Ovis aries: one gene and its partners. The protein of the gene in region 6 interacts with the protein of the main gene of each other region in a pairwise test. Links are inferred from orthologs where the notes say so. Each region holds a gene or a part of one and is shown on either strand. Other genes may lie near its edges.

Region 1 (3,500 bases), on a different chromosome or scaffold from region 6:
TGTGCCTACCCTTCAAGGCTGATCCCTGTGACCTAATGAATCCTTTGTAAAAAAACGTGGACTCAGCTAGGATGTTACACCACCATTGTCGAAGGAACCCTGAACTCCAGGAAGAGTTGCAGATTCAAGCTGCAGTGGCTGCCGGGGATGTTCACACAGTGCGGAAGATGTTAGAGCAAGGCTACTCTCCAAATGGCCGAGATGCTAATGGCTGGACCCTGCTTCATTTCTCTGCAGCAAGAGGAAAGGAAAGATGTGTTCGAGTATTTCTAGAGCATGGAGGTGAGTTTACTGGGAGCAAACCTTTTTTCCCCAAGAAGAAACAAATGAAATTCTGTTTAGTTTAAAGTAATGTGTGCATGTGTATATGTTTTTTCTAATACTCGACTTCTTCTTCTCTCCTTTGTTATAATTATGCTGTTTTGTTTAAAACCAGGTTGTCTAAAAAATTGGTTTGATGAATGTGCTTTTTTTCCCCTTGTAACTCTAGTTTCTATATAGCCAGATTTCCCCAGATTATTTCAACTAAAAGCAACCCTTCTTTAGGTTGTCCACTTGCTTTGTTTCAGAAGCAGAAGTGGCTGTGGTCCCAACAACTAAGAATTGCTCAAGTTCCCCCTGTTGAGAATTGCTCAAGCAGACAGAGATACCATAGGCCCCTATAAATACCATGGCCTTCATGATACCCTATCTTTTGAATTTACCTCTTCTAAAAGCATTTTTAGATGCTTTTATTACTGTTTTAGCTCTTGCCTTTTCTAGAATTGTACATAGTTTCTAGATATCCTACAAGATTATCTGAGGTCTAATTTTATATGCAGTTGGAAGCTACATTTACCATTTTATGTTCTTGCTTTGAAAAACTGTCCATTCCCATAATTAATAGTAACTAATAATTGTCTTAAACTCACTTGTTTCCGTATTAGATTTCCACTTAATTTATTTTCCTAGATTTACACTTGTACAAGTGTACAAGATGAACAAACATATTTTTTTGTACTAATATTATTTTCATAAATTATGATGTAAAGCAGCTTAGTTGGAACTCAGGATTCATTATGTACTACTCTAGGGCCTGGATTGCTTATTAACAATCATTTAGTTCCATTTCTGTGCTGTACTTTTGACTAGTCAAACTTGGAAACTATTTTGAAGTACAGAAAATGTTAGAAGTCGCACAGCTGTCATTAGGGTCTTGTGAATTATGTGAAGATAGGAATATGAAGGCTGTGAGCGTGGACTAACTGCTGGGCACTGCTAAACTGAGACTAGGAATCATCACATGTCTTAGTGGCCCTGAAATAAGAATTATGTCCCCAAAATAGTTGGCCATTGACAGGACCCCACCATTCGCTGGCCTGGGCCTCTTTTGTGGCTGTCCTATGCCCCTCCCTGTGGCCCTTGCTCATGCCTCAATTCGCCTTCAAACTTGAAAACGTCAGTGCGGAAGGCCGTGAAGGAGTACTGTATGAGGAATGCCAGAAGAAAGATCTGGAAAAACTAAGAAGTGGGTGTAGAGTCAGAATAGTTAAAATTCTGACACTGCTTCAGCAAAATAAGGAACAGACTCAGATTTTCAAATTCTGCCTAGTTGTGTTACTTTCTGCATCTGTCAGCCTTGCTTTTAACAAACTAATTAAAAAGGAAAGGTCAGTTACTCAGGTAATGTATGAACTTGTCTCCTTAAAACAAATAAAACACAATTTCAAATAAATTATAAATAAAGCCAAAGTCCCCTTTGGTCAGCTCCCAACCCGTGTCTGCCCACCCCTGCCTGGAAGTAACTCATGGCTCTAAGTTTGGTTTGGTCCTATTTTTCTAGATCATTTCCTAACATACTTCTAGAAAATACATCTTATTGTGTTGTCTGTGGTTTTAGAATATAAATTATATACTGACTGTGTTAAAATTCTGCAACTGTTATTTTTTGCTCAGCTATATGTAACTTAAGAATTTTTTAAATGTTAGGTTGGCAGACTTTTTCTGTAAAAGGCCAGATAGTAAATATTTGGGGCTTTGCAAGCCCTTCTTTTTCTGTTGTTAGCTGCTCAGCTCTGCCTTTGTGGCATGAAAGCTGTCATATACAGTGTGAAGGAATGAATGTAGCTGTGTGCTGGTTAAACTTTATCTATAAACACCAGTGGTGTTCTAGATTTGGCCTCTGGGTCCAGTTTGCTGAGCTCTATTTCTCCCCCCAAACCCTACTCTCTGTTTCTGTATATATGTGTATATAGATATTTTTTTAACAGCTTTTATTGAGAAATAATTCACAAACCTTACAATTTGCCCTTTTCAAGTATACAATTTAGTAGATTTTGATGTATTCATAGAGTTGCGCATCTTTCACCACAACCAACTTTGAAACATTTCCATTACCCCGAAAAGAAGTCTTGTCCCACGAAGAAGTCTTGCACCTATCCCATAGTTATGCATGCCAGTTTGTGTGTGTGTGTTTAGTCACTCAGTTACATCCAACTCGCTGTGACACCATGGACTGTAGCCTGCCAGGCTCCTCTGTCCATGGAATTCTTCAGGCAAGAATCCTGGAATGGGTTGCCATTTCCTCCTCCAGGAGTCTTCCTGGCCAGGGATCAAACCCACATCTCTTGATTCTCCTGCATTGGCGACAGATTCTTTACCACTGTGCCACCTGGGAAGCATATATAGGTTTTCTCTGTTCTTTTCAACTGCTCAGTTCACTTCAATTCAGTTCAGTTCAGCAGTCGTGTCCGACTCTTTGCGACCCCATGAATCACAGCACACCAGACCTCCCTGTCCATCACCATCTCCCGGAGTTCACTCAGACTCATGTGCGTCGAGTCAGTGATGCCATCCAGCCATCTCATCCTCTGTCGTTCACTTCTCCTCCTGCCCCCAATCCCTCCCAGCATCACAGTCTTTTCCAATGAGTCAACTCTTCGCATGAGGTGGCCAAAGTATTGGAGTTTCAGCTTCAGCATCAGTCCTTCCAATGGACACCCAGGACTGATCTCCTTTAGGATGGACTGGTTGGATCTCCTTGCAGTCCAAGGGACTCTCAAGAGTCTTCTCCAACACCACAGTTCAAAAGCATCAATTCTTTGGTGCTCAACTTTCTTCACTGTCCAACTCTTATATCCAAACATGACAACTGGAAAAAACATAGCCTAGACTAGACAGACCTTTGTTGGCAAAGTAATATCTCTGCTTTTGAATATGCTATCTAGGTTGGTCATAACTTTCCTTCCAAGGAGTAAGGGTCTTTTAATTTCATGGCTGCAGTCACCATCTGCAGTGGTTTTGGAGCCCAGAAAAATAAAGTCTGACACTGTTTCCCCATCTGTTTCCCATGAAGTGATGGGACCAGATGCCATGATCTTCGTTTTCTGAATGCTGAGCTTTAAGCCAACTTTTTCACTTTCCTCTTTCATTTTCATCGAGAGGCTCTTTAGTTCTTCTTCACTTTCTGCCATAAGAATGGTGTCATCTGCATATCTGAGGTTATTGATATTTCTCCCAGC
Region 2 (3,500 bases), on a different chromosome or scaffold from region 6:
AAATTAAAGGACATATTACAAAAGCTCACTAAGCAGTTACCCTTTAATTCAAAAATAGCATGAAGTTTCAAGCAACTGCTCTTCTTCAAGTGAAAGCAAAGACAGTCTTGTTCACTTCAAAGAAAATATTAGTTTTACCATCAGCATCAACACTAAGTCAGCCTGTTTTCCTTATCTTCCACTTATTCCTTAAACCTTCCCACATCTCTCCATCCCTACCAACACCTACCCCTTTTGACCACAAAGCAAAAGAAAAAAACAAAGTGTCCTACAGAAAAACAGACTAATTATAAGGAAGTCATTCGAGGCCAGAACTACTCCCTCTCTTCTTTAATTATTTTTTAAATTGGAGGATAATTTCTTTACAGTATTGTGATGGTTTCTGCCACACATCAACATGAGCTGGCCATAGGCATACATGTGACCCCTCCTTCCTGAACCCCCCTCCTGCTTCCCTCCCTACACTATCCCTCTAGGTTGTCACAGACACCGCCTTTGGGTTCACTCTCCTGATATTTGTTAACCAGTAGATCCCAGCGGGGGTCAGGAGGGCAGGACATATGAGATGTTCTCCTGCAAAAGCTAGAAATCTGGAATCACAGGCGGTAAGGGCCACACAACTCTTCTCCCTCATCCTCTCTTCCAGCAAGATTTCTACATCTCTTGGCACAGCCTGCCTGTGAAGACCCTAGAGGTACCTGAACAGCATACCTGCAGAGTTAAGAGGTTTCCCACTTATTAGAAAGTAGAAAACATTACAGAAATTTTCAAAAATAATAGAATTTATATTTTTAATAACATTTGCTTAACCACTAAGTTAATTCTATGTTAAAATATTGGCTGTACCATCAATTTTTATTTTAGAATTCAAGTTCATATACCCATTATATATATGCCCACTATCTTAATCAATGATGCTAATAAAATTCCTATTCCTCAAAACAAAAATATGAACGTTTAGGAAGTAATTGTTGTTGTTTAGTCACTAAGTGGTTTCTAACTCTTTTGCGACCCCATAGACTGTAGCCTACCAGTTTCCTCTGTCCATGGGATTTCCTAGGCAAAAACACTGGAGTGGGCTGCCGTTTCCTTCATGGGGTTTTCCTGACCCATGGATTGAACTCACATCTCCTGAATCAGCAGGCTGGTTCTTTACCACTGAGCCACCAGGGAAGCCCTTAGGAATTGGTTACAAACTAGTAAATCCCTAGATATATTATCAATGCAATTAATCAATGACCAGGAAGGCAATCACTTCATATGACTATTTTTATCTTCAAAGTAAAATATGTGTGTAAAATTAAGATCTCTTTCCTGAGTGAAATTTTAAAATTCGGTTAAAAGGAGCTGTTGCTTGTACCTAAAAAGGAAATATGAATCTGTAATTCTAAAATAATCATGATAAATTATAAGTTGTAAGAACATTTGGTGTTCTAATGATTTTAAAGAAGGAAAGATATGCATTTGACAGAAAATTCGAGCAAGGCAGCAAAAAAAAGCAGACTGAGGAACAAAGGCCCCCTTTCAAAACATCATTTCAAGGTGACAACTGGAAAGAGACAATGGCTACTCACCGCACTAATGTTTTGTTGAGTTGTCTTAATTCTCTGAATTTCAGGAGTATCTGCCACAGCAGAATAGCTAGAAAGCATCTTCTCCGCCTCATCTTTATACTTTTTCTAAAAATATAAACTGAATGTGAATCTGAAACTCTGTGTGCCACATTCAAGAGAGACAGAGACAAAGAGAAAATGGTACTACTTTTTCCAACTCTGCCATATCTGAAAGTGAAAGTCCCTCAGTTGTGTCTGACTCTTTGCAACTATACAGTCCATAGAATTCTCCAGGCCAGAATACTGGAGTGGATTGCCTTTCCCTTCTCCGGGGCATCTTCCCAACCTGGGGATCGAACCCAGGTCTCCCGCATTGCAGGTGGATTCTTTACCAGTTGAGCCACCAGGGAAGCCCACATGTTCTAAATTATACCTTAGGATTCAAATCAGTTGTTGATGTGTTTGTGTGTGTGAGCTCAGTCGCTCAGTCTTATCCAACTCTATGATGTATTTATGCAACAGTAAAAATAAACAGCATACGCAAACAGAGTAAGCAAACAGTCTAGGAAAACACATTCACCTTCTCTCAGGCAATGGTTCCCACTCAAGACTATTCAAACACCCTGGGACAGCCTGACCTCTACGGAAGTCCTAAGCCTAGAACCTACTCTCTTATGAGCAGTTCCAGTTCCTGTTCAAAATAGCCCTTACAACTCCTACCAGTAACCTGACTCTCTTTGCTTACTTGTCTTCATGCTTCTAGATTTATACTTTGCTTCCTACTTCAGAAGAAGATACATTTGACTAAGGAAAAGATACTAGTATTTTGTACTAGAGATAAAAATCTCAATTTTCCTTTTGCTACTAAATGTACTATTATGAGCTCAGCTATATCCTAGGCAATGCCTTCTACGAGTGCCAGCATTTACACAGTAGTTCAGTTCAGTTCAGTCACTCAGTTGTGTCCGACTCTTTGCAACCCCATGGACTGTAGCACGCCAGGCCTCCCTGTCTATCACCAACTCCCAGAGTTTACTCAAACTCATGTCTATTGAGTTGGCGATGCCATCCAATCATCTCATTCTCTGTTGTCCCCTTCTCCTCCCACCTTCAATCTTTCCCAGCATTAGGGTGTTTTCAAATGAGTGAACTCTTCATATCAGGTGGCCAAAGCACTGGAGTTTCAGTTTCAGCATCAGTCCTTACAATGAATATTCAGGACTGATTTCCTTTAGGATGGACTGGTTTGATCTCCTTGCAGTCCAAGGGACTCTCAAGAGTCTTCTCCAACACCACAGTTCAAAAGCATCAATTCTTCAGTGCTCAGCTTTCTTCACAGTCCAACTCTCACATCCATACATGACCACTGGAAAAACCATAGCCTTGACTAGACGGACCTTTGTTGGCAAAGTAATGTCTCTGTTTTTCAATATGCTGTCTAGGTTGGTCATAACTTTCCTTCCAAGGAGGAAGCATCTTTTAATTTCGTGGCTGCAGTCACCATCTGCAGTGATTTTGGAGCCCCAAAATAAAGTATGTCACTGTTTCCACTGTTTCCCCATCTATTTGCCATGAAGTGATGGGACCAGATGCCATGATCTTAGTTTTCTGAATGTTGAGTTTTAAGGCAACTTTTTCACTCTCCTCTTTCATTTTCATCAAGAGGCTCTTTAGTTCTTCTTCACTTTCTGCCATAAGGGTTGTGTCATCTGCATATTTGAGGTTATTGATATTTCTCCCAGCAAACTTGATTCCAGCTTGTGCTTCATCCAGCCTGACGTTTCTCCTGATGTACTCTGCATAGAAGTTAAATAAGCAGGGTGACAATATACAGCTGTGACATACTCCTTTCCCAATTTGGAACCAGCCTGTTGTTCCACGTCCAGTTCTAACTGTTGCTTCCTGAACTTCATACAGATTTCTCCGGAGGCAGGTCAGATGGTCTGG
Region 3 (3,418 bases), on a different chromosome or scaffold from region 6:
CCCAATTTTTTTTTTTAAAGGATGCACCTCTGGGACTGTCAACTTTGTTTTTGTTGACAGTCTCAAACAAAACTGCAGATTTGGTTTCTAAATTTGAAAACTGATATACAACCACCAATTGTTACATCTCAAATCAATTGTTATCTGGGAAAATTTTGGGGATCTAGGTTAATTTAAAAAAGAAAAAAAAAGTATCTTGGGAGGGATTTGCATGTGATACTATTCAGTATCTGTGGAAGATGGGGATGTTGTGCTCTAAGAAGGTGAAGTTTCCACAGGAAGAAAAGCGGAGGTTGAAACAGTCATAAAGAAAAGGAAGGTCCTGGAAAAACAGGCGGAAAGACATCCTATGAGTCTATGCTAATATAATCTTTGTGTGAGGGGATTCTAATGAAACAAAATTTACATCAAAATTATCCAATGGAATAGAAAAACCAAAATCAATGACCATTAAAACACTAACAAAGTCATTATTATATTGCCTTCAAGAGAACTTCGATCACACTCGGATTGACAACATTCTGCATTTCTTGTTCAAAACTCTTCCATACGGTAGGAAATCAATGAATTTTTGTTGTTATTCTTCAGAATTCCAATTTGTCCAATTAGTTCTCCTGGTGGCTCAGAGGGTAAACTGTCTGTCTGCACCGCGGGAGACCTGGGTTCAATCCCCTGGAGAAGGAAATGTCAACTCACTCCAATATTTTTGCCTGGAAAAGCCCATGGACATAGGAGCCTGGTAGGCTACGCCCATGGGATCGCAAAGAGTCGGACATGACTAAGCGACTTCTCTTTTTCAGAGTTGACATATTTTCTTGGGCAATCCTGGCTGTTCTCTCAGTTTAAATTCTCACACTGATCTGAAACCTAGTTGACACACCAGCCTAGTTCTTACTCTTGGATTGATCTCTAACTTGATTTTGGATATACCTAATCAAATGCTTCCTAAGAAAGTTCAGTTTCAGCATTTCAGAAGCTTAAATTGCCATCTGTCCCTTAAACTGACTCCTTGTCCAGTGCTCACCCATCTCCCTCCCCTCCTCCTCAAGAACTCCTCCTTAGCCATAACAGGATACCTGGGGAGGGGGTGTGATCACTGAGGCCCATATTCTAGCGGACCCTCTATGCTTACTGGGGGCCTCCTAGCCCCCTCCTGCAGCCCACCAGGAGCCCCGCCCGCCAACTCGACTGCCGGGCCCCAGGCGCGCGGACGCGCAGGCGCATTGGCCCGGCCCGCCGCCGCCCCGCCCTGCCTGGCCTCTGCGGAAGGCGCCGCGCGCAGCAATGCGCACTTCCTCTCCAGGAGTCCGCGGAGGGAAAGCAGACTCGAAGAGCTCTCGGACTCGGCGGCCCTGCTCTTGCGAGACCGAACAGATATGTCCGAACAAAGTAAGGATGTGTGCGACCCCAACTTTGCGGCCGAGGCCTCCAACTCCGAGGTGCACGGCAGCCCCGGCATTACCGGGGGGCCCTCTCCTCCGGGGTCTCAGGCCGCGACACTCACTGAGCCAGAGCGCCCTCCCTTAAGCCCGCCTGATGCCCCTCTGGTCTCGCTGCCTTCCCAGGCTCCAGGCGAAGAGGGAGACCCGAAGGCCCTGCAGCAGGCCGCTGACGAAGGCCGTCCCCACCAGGCCCCGAGCACAAGTCAGCTCAGCCCGGCGCCCCCGGCCCCGGCCCAGCTGGTGCAGAAGGCACACGAGCTCATGTGGTACGTGCTGGTCAAGGACCAGAAGAGGATGATCATCTGGTTCCCAGACATGGTGAAGGATGTCATCGGCAGTTACAAGAAGTGGTGCAGAAGCATCCTTCGGCGCACCAGCCTCATCCTCGCACGCGTGTTCGGGCTGCACCTGAGGCTGACCAGCCTGCACACCATGGAGTTTTCGCTGGTCAAAGCTCTGGAGCCAGAGGAGTTGGACAGGGTCGCTCTGAGCAACCGCATGCCGATGACGGGCCTCCTGCTGATGATCCTGAGCCTCATTTACGTGAAGGGTCGCGGCGCTCGAGAGAGTGCAGTCTGGAACGTGCTGCGCATCTTGGGGCTGAGGCCTTGGAAGAAACACTCCACCTTCGGAGACGTGAGAAAGCTTATCACCGAGGAGTTCGTCCAGCAGAACTACCTGAAGTACCAGCGCGTCCCCCATGTCGAGCCCCCTGAGTACGAGTTCTTCTGGGGCTCCCGTGCCAGCCGCGAAATCACCAAGATGCAGATCATGGAGTTCCTGGCCAGGGTCTTTAAGAAAAACCCCCAGGCCTGGCCTTCCCGCTACAGGGAGGCTCTGGAAGAGGCTAGAGCCCTGCGGGAGGCCCACCCCACTGCCCACTGCCCCCGCAACAGTGTCTCCGAGGACTAGCAAGGTCTGGAGGCAGATGGAAGTTTTCTGCCCCTCACCAGGGTGGAGGAAGGGTGGGAGTGTGGGACGTTAGAGTATTCAGGATCTACAGTGCAGTATTTCACGTGTAACTTTTAAGTTTTCCATACAGTGCTTTTATACCTCTTAATGCAATGTTGTGTTCATTTCAGTAATATTAGTGTATAGGATTCATGCATGGTTGTTTGTAATTAAGCTCAGTTGGTGCTTTCGCTTTTGTGCTACCTTTCTTGAATTTTTTGTACCAGAGACATGCTAAACTTATGAAATACACTGAGGCATTTTCCATATTCTTTTACGTGTGACGGAGGCTGTGTATTGGGGTAAATTGGTCTTGCAGAGTTTGGAAAAACTCCCCAGAAAAGCTGGCCTAACCAAGAGAAAAGTTGACCCCTGTCTTTGTGCTCTGCCTGGGCACGGGAAACATCCCTGTGGAGTTTGGTGATGTGAACTGAAACAGACTCAATGTGGGCACACTTTACTAAACACAGATACAACCTCACCATGAGTAAACTTTAAACATTAAAGATTCTTGTGATACAGTCATTCATGGAAAAAGTGTACTTTATCTTCTTAACAGAATATTATGGGTTTGGAATGGGAATTACAAAGTATACAGATATAACTATTTCATCTAATAGGACGGGGATGTCAGTACTCATCATGACTCATAAATATGTAAAGGGCATAGTTTTATTTTCAGGAAGGAATTCACAAGTTCATATCAAAGCTTTGACAAGTAGAAGTGCAAAAACCAAAACAGGGGTCATAATCACATTATATAGAAATAACAAATGCTGATATTTAGAGTAATTGCCCCTCTTACATTTTCCATATTTTCTAAAAAATAATAGCTGTCTTTTGTGGGCACTAAGAGAGGCCTTGTACTAAACCCTTACATATATTTTCTCTCTTTAATCCTCACAATAGCCTTGTGAAGCAGGCACCGTGGAGGAAATACAGAAATAAAGCAGATAATTAGCTTTCCCTGGATCATAAAGGCTTCCTGGGAGGAGAGGCTTAGTTTTAGGGTTTGGACCCAGACT
Region 4 (3,500 bases), on a different chromosome or scaffold from region 6:
CCTCCCCACTCCACCTGCGGCAGGGACTTCAGGGAGAGCTCGGAGCAGAGATGCTCACACCCTCTGTCTACCTTTTCTCTGATCATTGGAAGAAAACCCTGAAGGGCAGATGTGCTTGTCGCTCAGTTGTGTCTGACTCTTTGTGACGCCCTGGACCATAACCCGCCAGGCCTCTCTGTCCATGGGATTTCCCAGGCAAGAATACTGGACTGGGTTGCCATTTCCTCCTTCAAGGGATCTTCCTGACCCAGGGATCAAACCCACATCTGCTGCTTGGCAGGCGGATTCTTTACCGCTGAGCCACCAGGGAGGCCCAAAGTGGGGATATTCAAGCCCTGTCTATAAAACCCTTGTTGACAAGTGTGATGAAACTGATGTTTCCGAAAAGTCATCATCCCTTCCCCTGACGCTGTGCCGTGCATCCAGCGGTGGAGCCCATGCTGCCACCCCTCTGCGCCAGCTGCCTCTGGACACCAGCTAGTGTCCTGCCCACACGGGCACCCACGAACGTACCCGAGAGCCTCCTAGGGGAAACACCTTAAGGAAAATAAGTTTACTTCTGTGAAAACATTTATGTAATGCCACAACCACCTCTGGCTTTTTCAAGCTGTCTTCTCTGTTAGCACGTGCACGTGAGGAAGACACTGATCTGGACGTCCCATCTGAACACGCACGGGGATTCTATGATCCGGACGTCCCATCTGAACACGCACGGGGATTCTATGATCCAGACGTCCCATCCAAACATGCACAGGGACTCTACTGATGGCCTCGAACTCACCGTGTATTCTTCTTTCATCCCCAGCTCGATCCTCTCCCAGAAAAGGTCTTACAGCAGAGACCCAACGCCAACGCCGTGCGGTCGATGGAGAAGGTCATTGAAATCCACAGTAAGTTGCCTGGCCCAGGGCTCAGCAAGGAGACCCCCCCCAAGGGAGGGGCCCGACTCCACAGCCCTTCTCCCACCCCCCATACCGCCCCCACCCCCTGCTTCTCTCTCACTGCCAGCAGCGTCCCCAGGCCCGCCTGTTGAGACCTGGCTTTCAGGGCGAATGTGATGAGCTGGTGACTCTCCTCTCACCCCGCTTGACGTCCCAACAACCTGCCACAGCCAAGTCACCAGCTCTGCTTTGTGGGGCAGAAGCGCTGTGGTTCAGGGGGTGTGTGAGGTCCCTTCTCCAGGCTCCCCACTGACAGGCTGGGACCCGCATGGAAGCCTGTGTCCTCGGGTCTGGCCTCTGCCCTTGGACCAGCAAACCCCACTCCATCAGTTCAGGGTACCCTTGGCCCAAAGACCAGCCCTGCCCCTCGAGCGATGGGGCCCAGGAGCCCAGGGGCTGCACACGGACTTCTGCCCCGCCTTTATCCTGGGTCTGCGGGGTGGCCCAGTCGCCAGTGTCCGTGTCCATGGGCGGGACCCAGGGTCTCCTGCTGTGCACTGAGCTCCTGGCCTCCTGAATGAGGAGCCCTGAGGCCCAGGAGACACCGGGAGGCTGCCTGCTCCCACCCCCATCATCTCGGGACTCCAGCAGGGAGTCAGGGAGTGCTCGTCCCAGCCGCCCCACCCTGAGGGAGGGACCCTCCCTGGAGCCCACCCCCACCCAGGTGTCCTGCCCCTGAAGGGCCCAGTTCTCCTGGTCACGGGGAAGCTTTTCCAGACTGCCACCCTCTGTGAGTTTCTAACCAGGCCACCTCGTGGCTTCTGTCTCTGGAGAGCGTGGTGCTTTGGAGTCACCAGCGATGGGTGCTGCTGGAGCCCCGTGGGCCCAAGCACAGGGATGGGGTCCCGTATCTGAGCAGTCACCCGCCCCTTCCGCAGGCCAGTACTGGCGCTCCCTGCAGAGGCTCGCCTCCACCGCTGGCTACTCCCTGGTCGAGGCCCAGAAGTGTGAGAACGAGGAAGCCGAGACTGTCACTGCCATGGCCTCGCTGTCTGTGGCCGTGAAGGCCCCTGAGAAGAGGTGAGCACGGACACTGGCCGGCGGTGGGTGCTGCCGCCATCTGCGGGTGACCCGGGTCTTTGCTCCCGGGTGTATTGGGGGCACGTGCTAGCTCAGCAGGGCGGGGAGTGGGTGAGCTCAGCAGGGCCTCACCCTCGCCCCAGGGCAGACTGCACCACACCTCTTCCCAGAAGCAAGAGCCTGAGAAAGACTTGAAGGGCGTCTGGGCCAGAAGGAACACTTCCCTAGGGGAAGAGTGGGGGTCGCTGAGAGTTGAGGGGGCGGGGGTGGCTAGGAGTCGGGGCGGGGTAGCTAGGAGATGGGGGTGGAGGTGGCTCGGGGTTGGGGGCGGGGATGCCTCGGAGTTGGGGGGCAGAGATAGCTAGGAACCTTGCACATCCACCCTCTCCTCTGTTGCCACCCCGCCCGCCCGCCCGCCCCAGCAGACCCGACGAGGAGCCCATGGAAGAGGAGCCGCCTCTGTAGCCGCTCCCGCAGCTGCGGGTCTCTTGTTTGTCTGTCTCCGTCTTGAAGCTCCGCCGAGAAAAGTTGCTGCCGCCCTGCGTCCTGCCGGCCTCCTCCGAGCCCGCGGGCGCGGCGGGGCGAGCCGCAGCCGGCGGCCCTCTGCCTGCCGGACCCGGGCAGACGTCGGGACGCGCCGACACACGGACGTGCGGGAGCGGGCGCTCCGGGCCCCGCAGGGCAGCCGCGGAGGGAGGGAGCCCGCGGGGGCTCGGGGCAGAGCCGCCTGCCGAGCGAGCCGACCCGAGGAAAAGAAAATGAAAATCAAAGATCTCACGACACAAAACAAACTTGATTAAAACTGGTGCTTACGGTTTGGTGATTCCCCACAATCCCACAGTCTCCGTGTAAACCACTCAACTCATTCTGTAGCTTATTTCTTTTCAGAGAAGAGTCAGCCGCTCCGGCGCTGGCCTGCCCCTGCGCACCGCGGGTGCGCGGTGGGGCTGGGACACGGAGCGGGCGAGCGTTTAAGGAAAAAAAAAAAACTGGACAAAAGCAGAAATGTGAGCCCGTGCGGCTTTGGTTTCTCAAAGCCGACGGAAGATGCGCGTTTGTGCCTTTTTTTTTTATTGCTCTGATGGATTTTTGTGGCTGGGTTTTCCGAAGTCCGAGGAACAATGCCTTAAGAAAAATAAACAGCAGGAGTCGGTGGGACCGCTCCCTGTGGCCGGTGGGGCCGGAGGCCGGCTCGCACTGGCCTGGCGCTTCACAAGTGGTCCCCGCCTCGGCCAGCAGCTCTGGAGGGCTGAGGTCCTGCCACCCTGTTTCGCTTTATTGCTGTTGAAGAAAAATGGAGGTAGTTCCAAAATAGTGGCAAATACTGTTGGGGGTTTCGAAGTCCAACAAATTTTAAATGAATCCAAAGTGTTCTTTTTCTCGTACATCATATAACAATTGAGCATCTCCATTTGGTTGTGAAGCATGTCCTAGGCACACTTTCAGTGTTACGATCGGAATGCTTTTTATTAAAAGCAAGTAGCATGAAGTATTGCTTAAAATTTTAGGTATAAATAAATATATATATGTATAATATAT
Region 5 (4,217 bases), on a different chromosome or scaffold from region 6:
CTATTGTGGCTACCAAACTGTTGAAATGTGACCAGTCCCAATCAGGATGAGCTGTAAGGGTAAAATACCCGGTGGGTTTTGAATATAGTATCAGAAAAAGAATGTAAAGTATCTTAATAATTGCTTTATATTTATTATATATTGACTTAATACGTTATATATTTAAATCATGTTAAATAAAAAAGATTAATTTCATCAGTTTTTACTTTTTGAAATGTGATTATTTAAATTGTTAAAATATATATGTGGCTTGCAATACTTTTCTATTGGACAGTGCTACTCTAGAGTATTGGTCCCCTGAGAGCAGGGTAGGAAAAGGATGATATTAATTTACCCCCGAACTAACACTTCGCTGAACATCCTTGACGGAACCAGCCTAAAGCTGATCACAAGCGATCCTGGGAAGAGGGGTGTCGCTTGTACCTTCACTTCTAAAGGAAGGAGGGAGGGAATGGGTGTATCCTTTACCTCTGGGGCAATAAGAATTCTCACTAGATCCAGATGTATCTGAAAGTCTGTAGCTAATAAAAGATATTTGCAAAGCAGGGCGATTAAAAATGGCAGAAAAGGGCGGGCATCTTGTGTCTTTTGAGAAGATTTACTATTTAAGGAGAACTCCAAGAAATAATACCTTCAAAAGCTTCATCATCTGATGTAAAATAAATTTCATGATTGCAATTCAGTCAGATTTGAGAAGTGGGCTGTGGTGGGGTAGGAAGAGGGTCAAAAATTGCAATGTAATCTCCAGGAGAGAAGAAACTTGGTCAAGTTTATTCTTGTCTTAGCGCCTAGAACAGTGCTCGCCACACAGCAGGCGCTTTTTAAATATTTGAACGAGTTAAGATGCAAAATTAGGTGGATGAGACGGTGTGTTTTTCGCGGGAGGAGGCCTTTGGCTTTTGTCCAGTGTCAAAGGAGTCTAGGCCGCCAAGGGGTTAACAACCACTTAATACCGACAGGGACGTGAAATTTATTTGAAATCAATGTCAAGAATTGGTTGATCTTATTCTGGGGAGAAGGCAGACCTCGGCGTCTGGAATGATCTACGTGCTTAAAAATACCACTCGCCACCATTTTCTCCAGGTAATTTTCCATCCCTGCCCCCACAGTCAAGGAGGGGGGGGGGCGAAAAAGTAATTCCGCAATCCTACCTAGCTTTAGAGAAAAAAAAAAAAAAAGAAAAAATGAATCGGTACAGCAACAAATCTCCAGGCATCGCCAGCGCAGCAGAAGAAGGGGACCCAGGTGGGCCTCGGGCACTGCCGGGACCCCAGCCCCCCAAACTTTGCCAAGTTGCGGGCGCCGAGTGCGCCCGGAGGCGCGGGGCGCGGCCGCGGGCGGCACCGCCCCCTGACGCCCGGCCGCGGCGCGCCGGGCCGCCCCCTCCCGGCCCCGGCCGGCCCCGCTGGCTCCGCTCAAAGTTTGCGGCCGCCCCTGCGCCCGCGCGCCCGCCCGATGTATGGGTGATATACTGCAGCGGGTGTCAGGGTGAGGGACGGCCATATTTGCCGGTGCGGCCCGAGCCGTCAACAACAAAAAGTGCGCGGGAGCTCGGCGGGCGCACGGACGGGCGCACGGACGCCAGGACCGCCTCGCCGCCGCCGGGTCTCGCCGCCGCCGCCGCCCTCGCGGGCCGGGCCCCGCTGCGCCCCGGCGCGCCCCGCCGCTCGGGGGGATGTCTTACAAACCGAACTTGACCGCGCACATGCCTGCCGCCTCCCTCAACGCCGGTGAGTGAGTGCGCCTCGCGGGCTGCGCGCGCCGCGCCCCAAGTGCAGCCAAGTTGGGGGCTCGCGCGCCCGGCCCCGGCCCCGGCTCCCGGGAGCCCGCGGCGGCCGGGGTCGGCGGGCACCGGGTCCCGGCCCGGGGCAGCGCGGCCGCCGCCGCCATGATTCCGGCGCGCGCGCTGCCAAAGTTCGCGGGTGCGACCCGCGCCGCGCCGGGCCTCGGGTCGGGCCGGGGCTGGGGCCCGGGTCGCGGGCGGCCGCCGCGGTCCCCCCCACGCCGGCGGCCCCGGCTTGTGGGGAGCGCGGCGAGCGAGGGCGGGGGAGGCTTTCTCGGCTCCTTTTTCCTCCGGCTTTTGGGCGGCTCGGCGAGGGCCCCTGCCGGCGGGAATCGGGAGCGGCCCGGTCGCGCCGGGAGCGGGGCGCCGGGAGCGGGGCGCCGGGAGCGGGGCGCGGGTCCGCCCTTGGGGACCTGAGGGGCAGGCCCGGGCGGGGGGTCCGGGAGGCAGGGGTGCACGTGAGCAAGGCCGGGCCACGCGCAGGCGGCGCTGCGGGGCGGCGAGAGCGCCAGGTTGCAGCCGCTCCCGAGGGCGCGGGGCCGCTGGGGTCACCGGCGGTGCAGGGGAGGTGGTCTGTGGACGCCCGCCCGGCCTGGCGTGGGGGAGCAGGTGCCCAAAACGGGGCGCACGGGAGGTCCCCTCAGGCGTGCGCGAAGTGAGAGAAGTTGAAGAAGACCGGGGGCTTCGGAGTTGCCTGCAGGCGGAGGGCGGGGGAGGCATTGAGCCGGGGTCCCGGCTTGGAGCCCCCAAGTCTAGGTTTAGAGGGGCCTCCTCCAGGAGCAGTGCTCTCCGTGTGCTGGGGCTGAAGCTGGGCGGTCCCAGAAAACTCCTGCATAAGTTGTCCGGAAGCTTTAGGCTGAGTCTGGGGGTCTTGCCTCAGAGACCGGGGCGGGGGCGGGGTGTGTGTGTGGCAAGGGGGCACGCGGGATGTGTGTGGCTGGTGGTAAAATTTTGTGGGGTTCGTAGGTGACTGACTGCCCCCTCTCACCGAGGTTCTCCTTTAGACTCTTGGTGGGAAACTTCCAAAAAAGCGAGGTGCATGGGGGTAGGGGTGGAGGCAGGGGCTTGGCAGGAAGGAAATGGGCCTCCCTGGTCAGAAGTGCCACGCTGGCAGTTGGCCGAAAGTTTTGGGCCTTGTCTTCTAATGTTAACTCGATAACTCCAAAATCTGAAGGGCGCCCCAGAAAAGCACTAAGTGTATGTCCATGTACGTATATACCTATACGTAGGTGTATATATGTGTGTGTGTGTTTAACTTCTTGGACAGAGATTTGGGGATTGGAAAGGGTTAAGATTCAGGGTGTGGATGGCTGTGGGGGTAGATAGTTTAGTTGGTCAAGTGTGGGCTCTGTCTGAGCCCCAAGAGCAAACGGCCCCTATTTTCAGCTGAAATGTTCTCATCTCTCGGGTCTGCACACCTTAAGAGGCAGGCTTTGTGGCCAATGTTTCTCACTGCCTCCCTCATCTGACTCTGGGGTGGGATGGGTGGAGGGTCTTGCCGCCGGCCCAGGTGGGCAGGAAGTCTCAGGTTCCCCTGGTGCAGTTGAGGCAGGGACCCTGAACCTGGCCCTTTGGGGACTGGGGTCCCAGAGGGAGCAAGCCACCCGCTTAGGCACCCTGAAGCCCTGCTCTGGGCTGGCTAGCACCTGTGCCCAGATTGTCTTCCTTCTCCTGTGGTGAACTCCAGGAGGAGCGCTGAGGTCTCCAGATCTCTGGTGTTCGGGTGAGGGGCCACCTGCCCCCTGCCCTGAGCGTGGACCCCTTTAGAAAGCCCGCATCTCCCTGAGCCATTTGCATCCAAGATGGACTCTCCACTGCCGCTCCTCCGGCTTCCTTGTCATCATCCCTCACGCCCTCCAGCCCTGCCTCCTGCTCGCGAGTTGCCAAGCCGCGGCCTGGCCGGCGGTGGCAGTGGCGGAGTTAGACAAAGCCCCCGCCTCCCCGCCAGAGAGCCCCCCCAGGCGCCCCAAGTGGCGGGAAGGCCGCCAGCTCCCCAGGCCCGGGCCGCTCTTTGTCTGGCGTGGGGGCGGGGAGCCGCGCCTGGCCCCAGGAGCTGCTGGCCTTTGCCAATCCCTCCCTCGGCTCAGGGCCCTCCCTGGTCCCCGCACACTGCGCGCATTGTCTGCGATGCTCTGAGACGACCGTGCTCACGCCCTGTCTGGTTTTCTCCTTGGCCTTGGGCAGCTGGACCGCCGGCCCTCCCTGTGTCTGCAGGAAGCTGTGGGCATGAGTGGAACTTGGGGTCCCTGCGCCAACTCTTCCCAGGGCCACAGGCACCCCCCTCTGAACACTGAGCAAAGGACTGGCTCAGAGTCGGGTCGACTACCACATCACCCAGGTGACAGGCAAATCAAGCTCTGGGCTCTTGCCTGACTTCTCCACACTGCTTCCACGCCTGCAACCCATTCCTTCTCCCTCTCTCAGGAACTAACCC
Region 6 (4,214 bases):
GGTGGGCTGTAGTCCATGGGGTTGCTAAGAGTCGGACACGACTGAGCAACTTCACTTTCACTCTTCACTTTCATGCATTGGAGAAGGAAATGGCAACCCACTCCAGTGTTCTTGCCTTGAGAATCCCAGGGACGGGGGAGCCTGGTGGGCTGCTGTCTATGGGGTCGCACAGTCGGACATGACTGAAGTGACTTAGCAGCCGCAGCAACAGCAGAGATATACAGAAGACCATGTTAACTCCCAGTCTTCAAGAAAATGGGCAGACAGAAAATTGAAAATCTGACCTTGACAACCCTGAGTGACTGGCAATGCCCTAGAGAGAAAGGAGGAGAGGGTGTGTATAATGGGGTGGGAGGGGGCATCAGGAAGGGCTGCCTAGGGATGACTCCCTGCTGAGTGTTGAAGGGTAAGTAGGGGATGTCCAGGTGAAGAAAGGTTCTCCCCTGAAGAATATGGAGGGCTCGTGAACCTGGGAGCCTGTGGCGGTGACAAAGACAATATATGCCAAAGACCTTGTGAGTGGATGGGTGAGAGAAAGGATTGGTGTGTGTCCCTGGCTTAGGAATCTCCCAGTGCTTTTCTGGATGTCCTGGGACGCCCCAGTTCTCAAGTGTACCCATATTTTTCCTAGCTAAGACCTTCAGAGATGTGAGAACAATTGTTTCTTCAAGACCTGGCCCCTGGTAGACGTTCCTTGAATGAATGATGAAGTTAAGTGAAATAAGCCCGCGTAAGTTTCACATCTCCCATTTTTAACTGTAAATCAGCAGTGCCCACCCTGAACAGGCTATGCGTGCATGATGAGTGGGGGTCATTCTCGCAGCCCACCGGGAGTAGGGCTCGTGGGAAGGCAAGCGGTGGAGAAAGGCGGCCTTCGGACACTAAGGACAGTGTAGGGCCACGGAGCCGCCCCTCCTAAGAGGGTCCCTGCTTCTGGCTTGGTGAGGGGCGCACGCACGGACAACAGAGGGATCAGGGCCCCGAGTTCACGTATCCTGGCCTCAGTTTCCCCGCTCCTGCCCTCACGCAGTTCTGGGGCGGGTGGCCGGGGTCCGCGCCGACTGCAGAGCTGGGGGGCGCGCCCTGCGCCATAGGGAGCCAGGGGAGTGGAAAAGCATCCGCGTGTTTGCAGGAAACAAGCCGGGAGGATCCGTCCATCCTTTTGGTTTTCCTGCCTCATCACCGAGCTAGACGGGATCCTGGCACACGGAGCAGAGGGGGTCTCCTCGCGCAGCCGACTCCTGGCTGCTCGCACTCTCCGCGCGGGTCTCCTCCCATCTCCCGCTCGCTCGGCCTCGGGGAACTCGGGAGCTGCGGCGGCCGACCGGCTTCCGGGCGGGCGGCGGCGGGGGCGGTGTCAGGTGGCCCGGCCAGGCCCCGCCCCCTCGGCCGGCCCGCCCTCCCTCCCCTGCGCACCCGGCTCCGGTACCCGGCCTCGCGGCGGCGGCGGCGGCGGCGGCGGCGGCGGCGGCGGCAGCGGCAGCGGCGGTGGCGAGAGCGGCCATGGAGGCGGGCGCCGGGGCCGGCGCGGGCGCCTCGGGCTGGAGCTGCCCGGGCCCAGGTCAGAGCGCCCCTCCTTCACCTCTCCACTGCCTCTCCTTCCTCTTCTCCATCTCTCCTCCCCCCAGACCCCCACGGCCTCTCCCCCCTCCGCTACTCCCCACCTTGACGGCCGAAGTCTTCCTCCTCCCTCCCTCCCGCCCCCCACCCGGGCCCGGTCTCCATCTTTCCCGGCTGGGTCTTCCCCACACCGGCCGCATCCTCCTTGGCATTCCCTGCCCTGAGCCTTCTCAATCTCGACTCTCCAGCCTCATACTGCTTCCAGCCCTAGGGGCTCTATAGATCCTGCACCCGCTCGCACCCCTAAAGCTTCTGAGCGCGGGGCGCGGGTGGGGTGGACGAAGTCTAGGGAGAGATGGAGGGGAGGGGAGGGGGTCCGGTCCACACGACCCCCGCCAGCCATCGCCGGCCCCCTCCCCACCTTCCCCTTAGGCGCACTACCTCACCCTTTCAGCCTCTTTACTTGCTCCCACCCTCTGCCATCCTTGTCCATCTTCCCCCTCTGTCCCCTCTGGGCTAAAGAGACACACACCCTTTCTACCTGTGCGAGGGAGAGGAGCCTGGAACAGAGGTTGCAGAGGAGGATGGGCAGGGCAGGGCGGGGTCCCCAGAGGCCCAGCCTAAGGGGCAGCTTGGGGAGAGGAGTCGCAGTGCCTGGCAGAGTGAGCCAAGTACTTCCACCGGGATAAAAACCCCCAGGGCTCCGAAGGGCTAGAAGGTGTGTCCCTTCCCCTCCCTGCCTCACCCCAGCCACCCTGGCACCCCACAATCCCTCTCTCTCCTTGCTCACAGGACCCACAGTGACCACTTTAGGCTCCTATGAGGTGTCGGAGGGTTGTGAGAGGAAGAAGGGCCAACGCTGGGGGTCTTTGGAACGGCGGGGGATGCAAGCTATGGAGGGTGAGTTTTCCTGTAAAGCTTTCTTTCCTTCTCCCTCACCCAATTTTCCTTCCTCCCTCTGACCCTCCAGAACTCTGAGCCAGGACACACACCTTCCCCCTAGTTCAGCTCAGCACCCGCTAGCCCTCCTCAGGGCTCAGGTTTTGAGGGAAGTTCAAGGTACATCCTTTTGGGGTTCTAATCACCAGCTAACCAGGTTGTGTGTCCCGAGGGAGCTGCCAGACAGAGAAAGAGGCCTCTTTGGACAGAGCTTTGAAGCAGCCTTTCAGCAGGGGGTTTGTTCTCTCTGCCTCCCGACCCAGATCCCAAGCTGTCTCTTATTTTGAAAAGCAGGGAAGTGAGCACGTGAACTGTCTTTCTGGTGCTGCCACCACTGACTTCAAATGGAAGCCTGGTGGCTTTGGTTCTCTAGGCTATCTTACTGCCTGAAAGAGGGAGCCTGGGAAGGGGGCTGCTGAAAAGGCCAACCTCCCAACACATGTGTATTCCCACAACACCCATGCGACTTGGCAGTTGTTGCCAACACCAGGAGGATGCTAGAAGGGTGCCAGTCCTGTTGCCAGGACTTCCCGTGAAGGGTCCCCAGGTCCCTGTGCACATCTAGTGTGGTCAATCTTGCCCCTTCCCCCCCCACCTCCACTGACCCCGGGGAGACAGATGATGCCAGGGGTCCCAGATGAATCTTAGGCTGTGGTTACTGGACAAAACCAGGCCAGAGACTCAGAATTTTAAAACAATTGCCATCCAGATAAGGTTTTGCTATTTAGAGAAACTGCATTGCAGTAAAGGAGGGGGTGCTTGCCAGCCAGAGACTGGGGACCAACACACCCCAGTTTCTTAACTCATTAAAATGGCAGGCTTTCTTTTACACACAAGTACAACCTATGACTTTCCCCTAAAAACTGCCTTGTGGTCAGCAGGGGAGGAAGTGAGACCCCCAGACACTCAGCAGGGAAAAGAAAAGTGGACTTGGTAGAAAATTTCAAAAAGTCTATTCAATGGAATATGTTTGGAAGGGCCCCAGTGTTTGTCCAGTAAATCCTTTAGATCATTTCATTCAGATGTTCTCTTTCTCTGCCTACTGACAGGCAACACTTTCATATAATGGAAAGGCTAGTTTCTCACAAGCCACCTGGATCGTTTGTAAACTTTGTACAAACCCCCAAACTGTAATTCTTGCCCTGTTTGGCTTAAAGACACACCCAGTGTCTGAATCCTTTCTTGACTACTTGTGCCCAGAGACAAGGATAGAAGAAGCAAGGTATCCTTGTGCAAGCCAGTCCCTGGCTGTTCAGTCCACCTGAAGGCAGTCCTTGGAGGCCCCAGAGGCAATATTGGTCCAGGAAGTGCCTGGGAGGGGGATGGATACCTCCAAACTTGACTCTCACACCTCAGGGCCCCTCAGGCATGCAGGTGCTGCCCAGAGGCTCCTTGGGGGACACCAGGTGGCACTATTATACCATCTCTGTCCTCTAAGGACAGTGAGGTGGAGGGCCCTCTAAGGACTGTGTAAGAAAGTTGGCTCTTACTCGCTGGCGGGATGTTGCGGGGGTCTCTCCTAGGGGAAGTGTTACTCCCAGCTCTCTACGAGGAGGAAGAGGAGGAGGAGGAGGAAGAAGAGATGGAAGAAGAGGATGATCCAGGGCAGAAAGGCGGCAACGCAGGCTCCCTGTCGGTTAGCAAGCACCGAGGCCTGAGCCTCACGGAGACGGAGCTGGAGGAGCTGAGGGCTCAGGTGCTGCGGCTGGTGGCAG
Region 7 (4,183 bases), on a different chromosome or scaffold from region 6:
TACATGTAAATAAAAATACTTCTCATAAACATACTTTTGAGGTTCATTCTTAGTATTTTTACTTATCTATAATGTATTATAAGAAGAGCTATGACCTATCATTTTTTATCAGAAAAACTGTTAGCAGTAACTTTTCTGCAGAAAAGAGGAAATTTTTCTATAATGTGCTATTGTTTGCTTAGCTGGTGAGCAGATTTGAAATGGATTTTCTCTGTTTCTTACTGCCTTTCAAAAGGTGTATTTCTGACTTGCATTTGAGAATTACCATAAATTGTTACAAGCTTTGAAAACATATGGTTTATATATAGAACTGTAAAAAGGTTCAAAAACCAGCCCTTTTCCCTTTTAGCTCATCCTTCCCCTTTCCTATGGTCAAAGCAGAAATATAGGTCTAAAATGTCCAATTGACTGATAGGGCTAAAGCTCTCGGCTGTTTATTCAGATGTCGGGACAAAACTGTATGGCTAACAATGTAAGGTTAATCCAAATGGTCTCGCATATATTTTAGAAATACGGATAAAAGCAACAAATAATTCCCATTGTGCTTTACTGTCAATGCAGAATACCTGTAATATGGATTGGATAGTAGCAGGAAAGAGTATGTGAATAGATTATAAGACCAATGAGGCAATTTTAAGAATGTGTTTCATCATAGTTCAGTATAAATAGCATAATTCTTCAGAATTACGTGATTTTTTTTTTTTGGTATGTGGATTATGAGAACTTTGATAATTGAATACAATTTCAAAAGGGCTCAAGTCGGTGACCTCAAAACGAGGTTCACAGAACAATACACAATGATGAAGCCAGAAGCAATAAAACACTGAAGAACGGAGACGTAAGCATACTGGTAGGACATGACTGAATGTTCACTTATTTTGCTTTGGAGTTTTCCTGGGTTGTCTTCAGACACCTTCCCTTTGTATCTGACAGTGTATCGCCAAGAGTGTTAAGGGGAGAACCCAACAGTCTAGGGGATCCCGACAAAGCTTAGCACACAGCTCACGTAACGTCACGGCGTACTTCCTTCTGAATACGGGAGTTATCCCTCCGAAATGGAAGGAAATGTACACTTGAGAGTCCCTCTGAATGACTGGAGTTCAAAAATGCTCAGTTCCTTCGCCTTTGTCCTTCTCTCCCTGGGTTTGGAGGCCACCTGTCCCGCAGGTCATACCTGCCGTTCTCACTGCGCGGCTCACCGGCTCGGGACCCGAGCCTGAGGAAGAGGAGACTCGCGCGCGCGGCCGCGAGCGGGCGGGGGCGGGGGCGGGAGACGCGGAGGGGCGGGGCCGACGCGCGCGAGCGAGGTGTGCGCGCCGCCGCCGCCGCGTCACCAGCGTGCGGCACGTGCCCGTGTTTACGTCCCTCGTGGAGCCGCTACGTCAGCAGCCGAATGGCAACATTGTGGCGATACTGAGGCTCCGCGCTCAGGAGACGCGTCCCTTCGTCAGGCCAGCTCCAGGCTGTCGGGAAGAAGAGGAGGAGGGGCACGGAGATCCGCCAGGGCGAGCGGCGGAGGCTCGCAAGCTCAGGGCCCCGACCACCCACCCGCCCGGCCGGCCCCGCGCCACCCGCGCCTCACCTCCGGGGCGCCGCAGACTCAGCCCGGCGGCCTCGCTCGGGGGGCGGCCCGGGCGGGCGCGGGGCTTGTAAACAGACCCAGCCGCACGTGACCATGTGAACTACCTGCTCCGGGGACGCGCATTGTCTTTCCCGCGAGCCGTGCCACAAAGGAGCGCGACGAGTCCGAGGACGGAGAGACAGGCGAGCGAGCGGGGAGAGCCGGCCGGCGCGCTAAGATGGCTGAAGGCGCCCGGCGAGGGTGAGTGGGGGGCGCGGCGCAGCCAGCCGGCGAGTCCTCCCGCGGGCAGGGCCAGCGGCGCCTTCCCCGCGGCCTGGCGCCGGAGCCACCATGTCGTTCGCGCTGGAGGAGACGGTCGAGTCGGACTGGGTAGCCGTGCGGCCCCACGTATTCGACGAGCGTGAGAAGCACAAGTTCGTCTTCATCGTAGCCTGGAACGAGATTGAGGGCAAGTTTGCCATAACCTGCCACAACCGGACGGCCCAGAGGCAGAGGAGCGGCACCCGGGATCAGGCGGGGGCGCGAGGCGGTGCCGAGTCAGGCGCGCTCGCATCCGACGGGACTCGCGGGCCGGGCAGCCCGGCGGGCAAGGGTCGGTCCGAGGCCACTGCCTCCGCGACTCTGGGCAGGAGCCCCGGGTCCCGGAGGCGCCCAGCCTGGCCAGAGGGCAGCTCTCCGCGGAGCGCATGCAGCCTTCGAGGGGACCCGTCGCTGCGGAGTCCGGCCGGCAAAGGGGCGGAGAGTCCTCTCCGGAGCCCGGTGAGGGCCAACCACAGCCCGGTCCGGAGGGCCTCCGGAGGCAGAGATGTGGCGGGGTCCGCCGCTGCGGCAGCCCCTCCGGCGGCCAAGGAGGCCCCGATGTCGGTGCGGGTAGTGAGCGCCTGCGGGACGGTCACCGAGGAGATCGAGGTGCTGGAAGTGGTGAGGGAAGATGAGGCGGACCCGGCGGCGCCGGCGCTCTCGGCCGCGGAGCAGCCACCGCCGGCCGCCGAACTGGAGTCTCCGGCCGAGGAGTGCAGCTGGGCCGGGCTCTTCTCCTTCCAGGATCTGCGCGCCGTGCACCAGCAGCTGTGCTCCGTGAACTCGCAGCTGGAGCCGTGCCTGCCGGTGTTTCCGGAGGAGCCGTCGGGCATGTGGACGGTGCTGTTCGGGGGCGCCCCGGAGATGTCCGAGCAGGAGATCGACACGCTGTGTTACCAGCTCCAGGTTTACCTGGGCCACGGCCTGGACACCTGCGGCTGGAAGATCCTGTCCCAGGTGCTGTTCACCGAGACCGACGACCCGGAGGAGTATTACGAAAGCCTGAGCGAGCTGCGGCAGAAGGGCTACGAAGAAGTGCTCCAGCGGGCCAGGAAGCGCATCCAGGAGGTAAGGACCCGGTCTAGGCTCCACGCATCGCTTTTGGCTCCACGCTGCCGCAGACTGGAGCCTCGGTCTAGGTTGTGCGCATTTGGGACTCTTGTTTTCCTAGCCAAACAACGGTACAGGAGGGGGCCCTGACCTTTCTCCCCCTTCATTCCTCTCAGAAGTGGGAAAAACCATGGCTTTCTTTAATTTGGCCTCTGAAGGAACTTGGGTAAACCTTTAGATATCTCCTCCTACTTATATAAGTTCTAGAAAATGCTCTGTTTACTACTAAGTAATGGTAGAAAGATTAAAGCCACTCAGAAGAAAGATGTCCCATAAATATAAGCTAAGTGAGTGATTCTCTTTGTTCCTAAAGTTCTTTCCAGCAATAATTGCCCGGATCATTAAACTTACTTTCCTGGTGTCATGTTCGTTTATTGAAAATGATTTGTCTTGTGAAGTAAAACTGGTCCGTTTTTTTGTCTCCAAATGTAATTTGGCAACTTTGGCAAATTTTAAATAATTTTTCTTCGGATGAGAGGCCTGTCCAAATAAAAAGCCCCTATTGACAGTTGGATACATACCTTAGGAATATCTCAAGCCTTTTAAGGAGGGCTGATGTTTCCCTTGTTTTAGGGAGGAAAAAGGTCTTGGATAGAAATGTTTATTATACTTTTGCACTTGACTAAAAGTAGTCCAGGCGCTTATTTTCAAACGAATCCTTAAAATTCCAGGAAATAATGGGAAAAGGTCTGAATGGTTATACATAGAGAGCTCTACGATGTGTAGGATGTATAATTGGAGGTCATGCGTACTTAAGAGCCTCTGCCGGAAAACTACTAAAAAAAGTATTCTCGGTCTCAAAATTATTATTTTTAGTATTAGTACCAATTGAGGTTGGAGTTGGGTTGGGGAAATGCCTCCTTTTGACGTGCTTATATTCTTTGCCTGTGTTTACATACTACTGGAATCTTGGGAGTATGTGCCAGGAAGCAGGAACCTCCTGATTTCTTCATAGAATATTCTCTATTTGGGATTTAGGAAGTAATTCTTCCTCACTTACTCCACAGTGCTTTCTTAAAACCTGGTGACTCCAGGTTTTCACTTCGTCCTGTTAGATAACTTGATGCTAAACATCACCCATCATGATGTGATCCCATAGTTCTAGGGATCTCTTTTTATTTCCCTTTTTATCATCTCACTTCTGGAGTCTTTGTTCTATTAATACCTTCAATCATTTTTGGAAGGAAGTGA

The links.
Region 1: the proteins of CCDC136 (region 6) and ASB7 interact in binary tests that used the Homo sapiens proteins (3 or more experiments, as listed by UniProt). The two-hybrid records come from large-scale screens. The link is inferred for Ovis aries from reciprocal best matches to the Homo sapiens genes CCDC136 and ASB7.
Region 2: the proteins of CCDC136 (region 6) and NEBL interact in a two-hybrid assay, tested with the Homo sapiens proteins (2 studies listed by BioGRID and IntAct). The two-hybrid records come from large-scale screens. The link is inferred for Ovis aries from reciprocal best matches to the Homo sapiens genes CCDC136 and NEBL.
Region 3: the proteins of CCDC136 (region 6) and NDN interact in a two-hybrid assay, tested with the Homo sapiens proteins (2 studies listed by BioGRID). The link is inferred for Ovis aries from reciprocal best matches to the Homo sapiens genes CCDC136 and NDN.
Region 4: the proteins of CCDC136 (region 6) and HDAC4 interact in binary tests that used the Homo sapiens proteins (3 or more experiments, as listed by UniProt). The two-hybrid records come from large-scale screens. The link is inferred for Ovis aries from reciprocal best matches to the Homo sapiens genes CCDC136 and HDAC4.
Region 5: the proteins of CCDC136 (region 6) and CDK2AP1 interact in binary tests that used the Homo sapiens proteins (3 or more experiments, as listed by UniProt). The two-hybrid records come from large-scale screens. The link is inferred for Ovis aries from reciprocal best matches to the Homo sapiens genes CCDC136 and CDK2AP1.
Region 7: the proteins of CCDC136 (region 6) and JMY interact in binary tests that used the Homo sapiens proteins (3 or more experiments, as listed by UniProt). The two-hybrid records come from large-scale screens. The link is inferred for Ovis aries from reciprocal best matches to the Homo sapiens genes CCDC136 and JMY.

What each region holds. Positions count from the first base shown.
Region 1 is NC_056071.1:5,418,636-5,422,135, reverse strand, and holds part of ASB7 (ankyrin repeat and SOCS box protein 7), read left to right. Parts: intron 1-17; 5' UTR 18-71; coding exon 72-282; intron 283-3,500. UniProt on the Homo sapiens protein: Probable substrate-recognition component of a SCF-like ECS (Elongin-Cullin-SOCS-box protein) E3 ubiquitin-protein ligase complex which mediates the ubiquitination and subsequent proteasomal degradation of target proteins.
Region 2 is NC_056066.1:21,528,872-21,532,371, forward strand, and holds part of NEBL (nebulette), read right to left. Parts: intron 1,680-3,500; coding exon 1,575-1,679; intron 1-1,574. UniProt on the Homo sapiens protein: Binds to actin and plays an important role in the assembly of the Z-disk. May functionally link sarcomeric actin to the desmin intermediate filaments in the heart muscle sarcomeres.
Region 3 is NC_056071.1:620,230-623,647, reverse strand, and holds NDN (necdin), read left to right. Parts: upstream 1-1,288; 5' UTR 1,289-1,376; coding exon 1,377-2,354; 3' UTR 2,355-2,918; downstream 2,919-3,418. UniProt on the Homo sapiens protein: Growth suppressor that facilitates the entry of the cell into cell cycle arrest.
Region 4 is NC_056054.1:2,403,851-2,407,350, forward strand, and holds part of HDAC4 (histone deacetylase 4), read left to right. Parts: intron 1-805; coding exon 806-890; intron 891-1,819; coding exon 1,820-1,961; intron 1,962-2,383; coding exon 2,384-2,426; 3' UTR 2,427-3,500. UniProt on the Homo sapiens protein: Responsible for the deacetylation of lysine residues on the N-terminal part of the core histones (H2A, H2B, H3 and H4).
Region 5 is NC_056070.1:52,346,569-52,350,785, forward strand, and holds the start of CDK2AP1 (cyclin-dependent kinase 2-associated protein 1), read left to right. Parts: upstream 1-1,417; 5' UTR 1,418-1,675; coding exon 1,676-1,730; intron 1,731-4,217. UniProt on the Homo sapiens protein: Inhibitor of cyclin-dependent kinase CDK2. Also acts as a component of the histone deacetylase NuRD complex which participates in the remodeling of chromatin.
Region 6 is NC_056057.1:94,459,344-94,463,557, forward strand, and holds the start of CCDC136 (coiled-coil domain-containing protein 136), read left to right. Parts: upstream 1-1,414; 5' UTR 1,415-1,503; coding exon 1,504-1,561; intron 1,562-2,352; coding exon 2,353-2,460; intron 2,461-4,022; coding exon 4,023-4,214. UniProt on the Homo sapiens protein: May play a role in acrosome formation in spermatogenesis and in fertilization.
Region 7 is NC_056060.1:10,270,318-10,274,500, forward strand, and holds the start of JMY (junction-mediating and -regulatory protein), read left to right. Parts: upstream 1-1,383; 5' UTR 1,384-1,912; coding exon 1,913-2,950; intron 2,951-4,183. UniProt on the Homo sapiens protein: Acts both as a nuclear p53/TP53-cofactor and a cytoplasmic regulator of actin dynamics depending on conditions. In nucleus, acts as a cofactor that increases p53/TP53 response via its interaction with p300/EP300.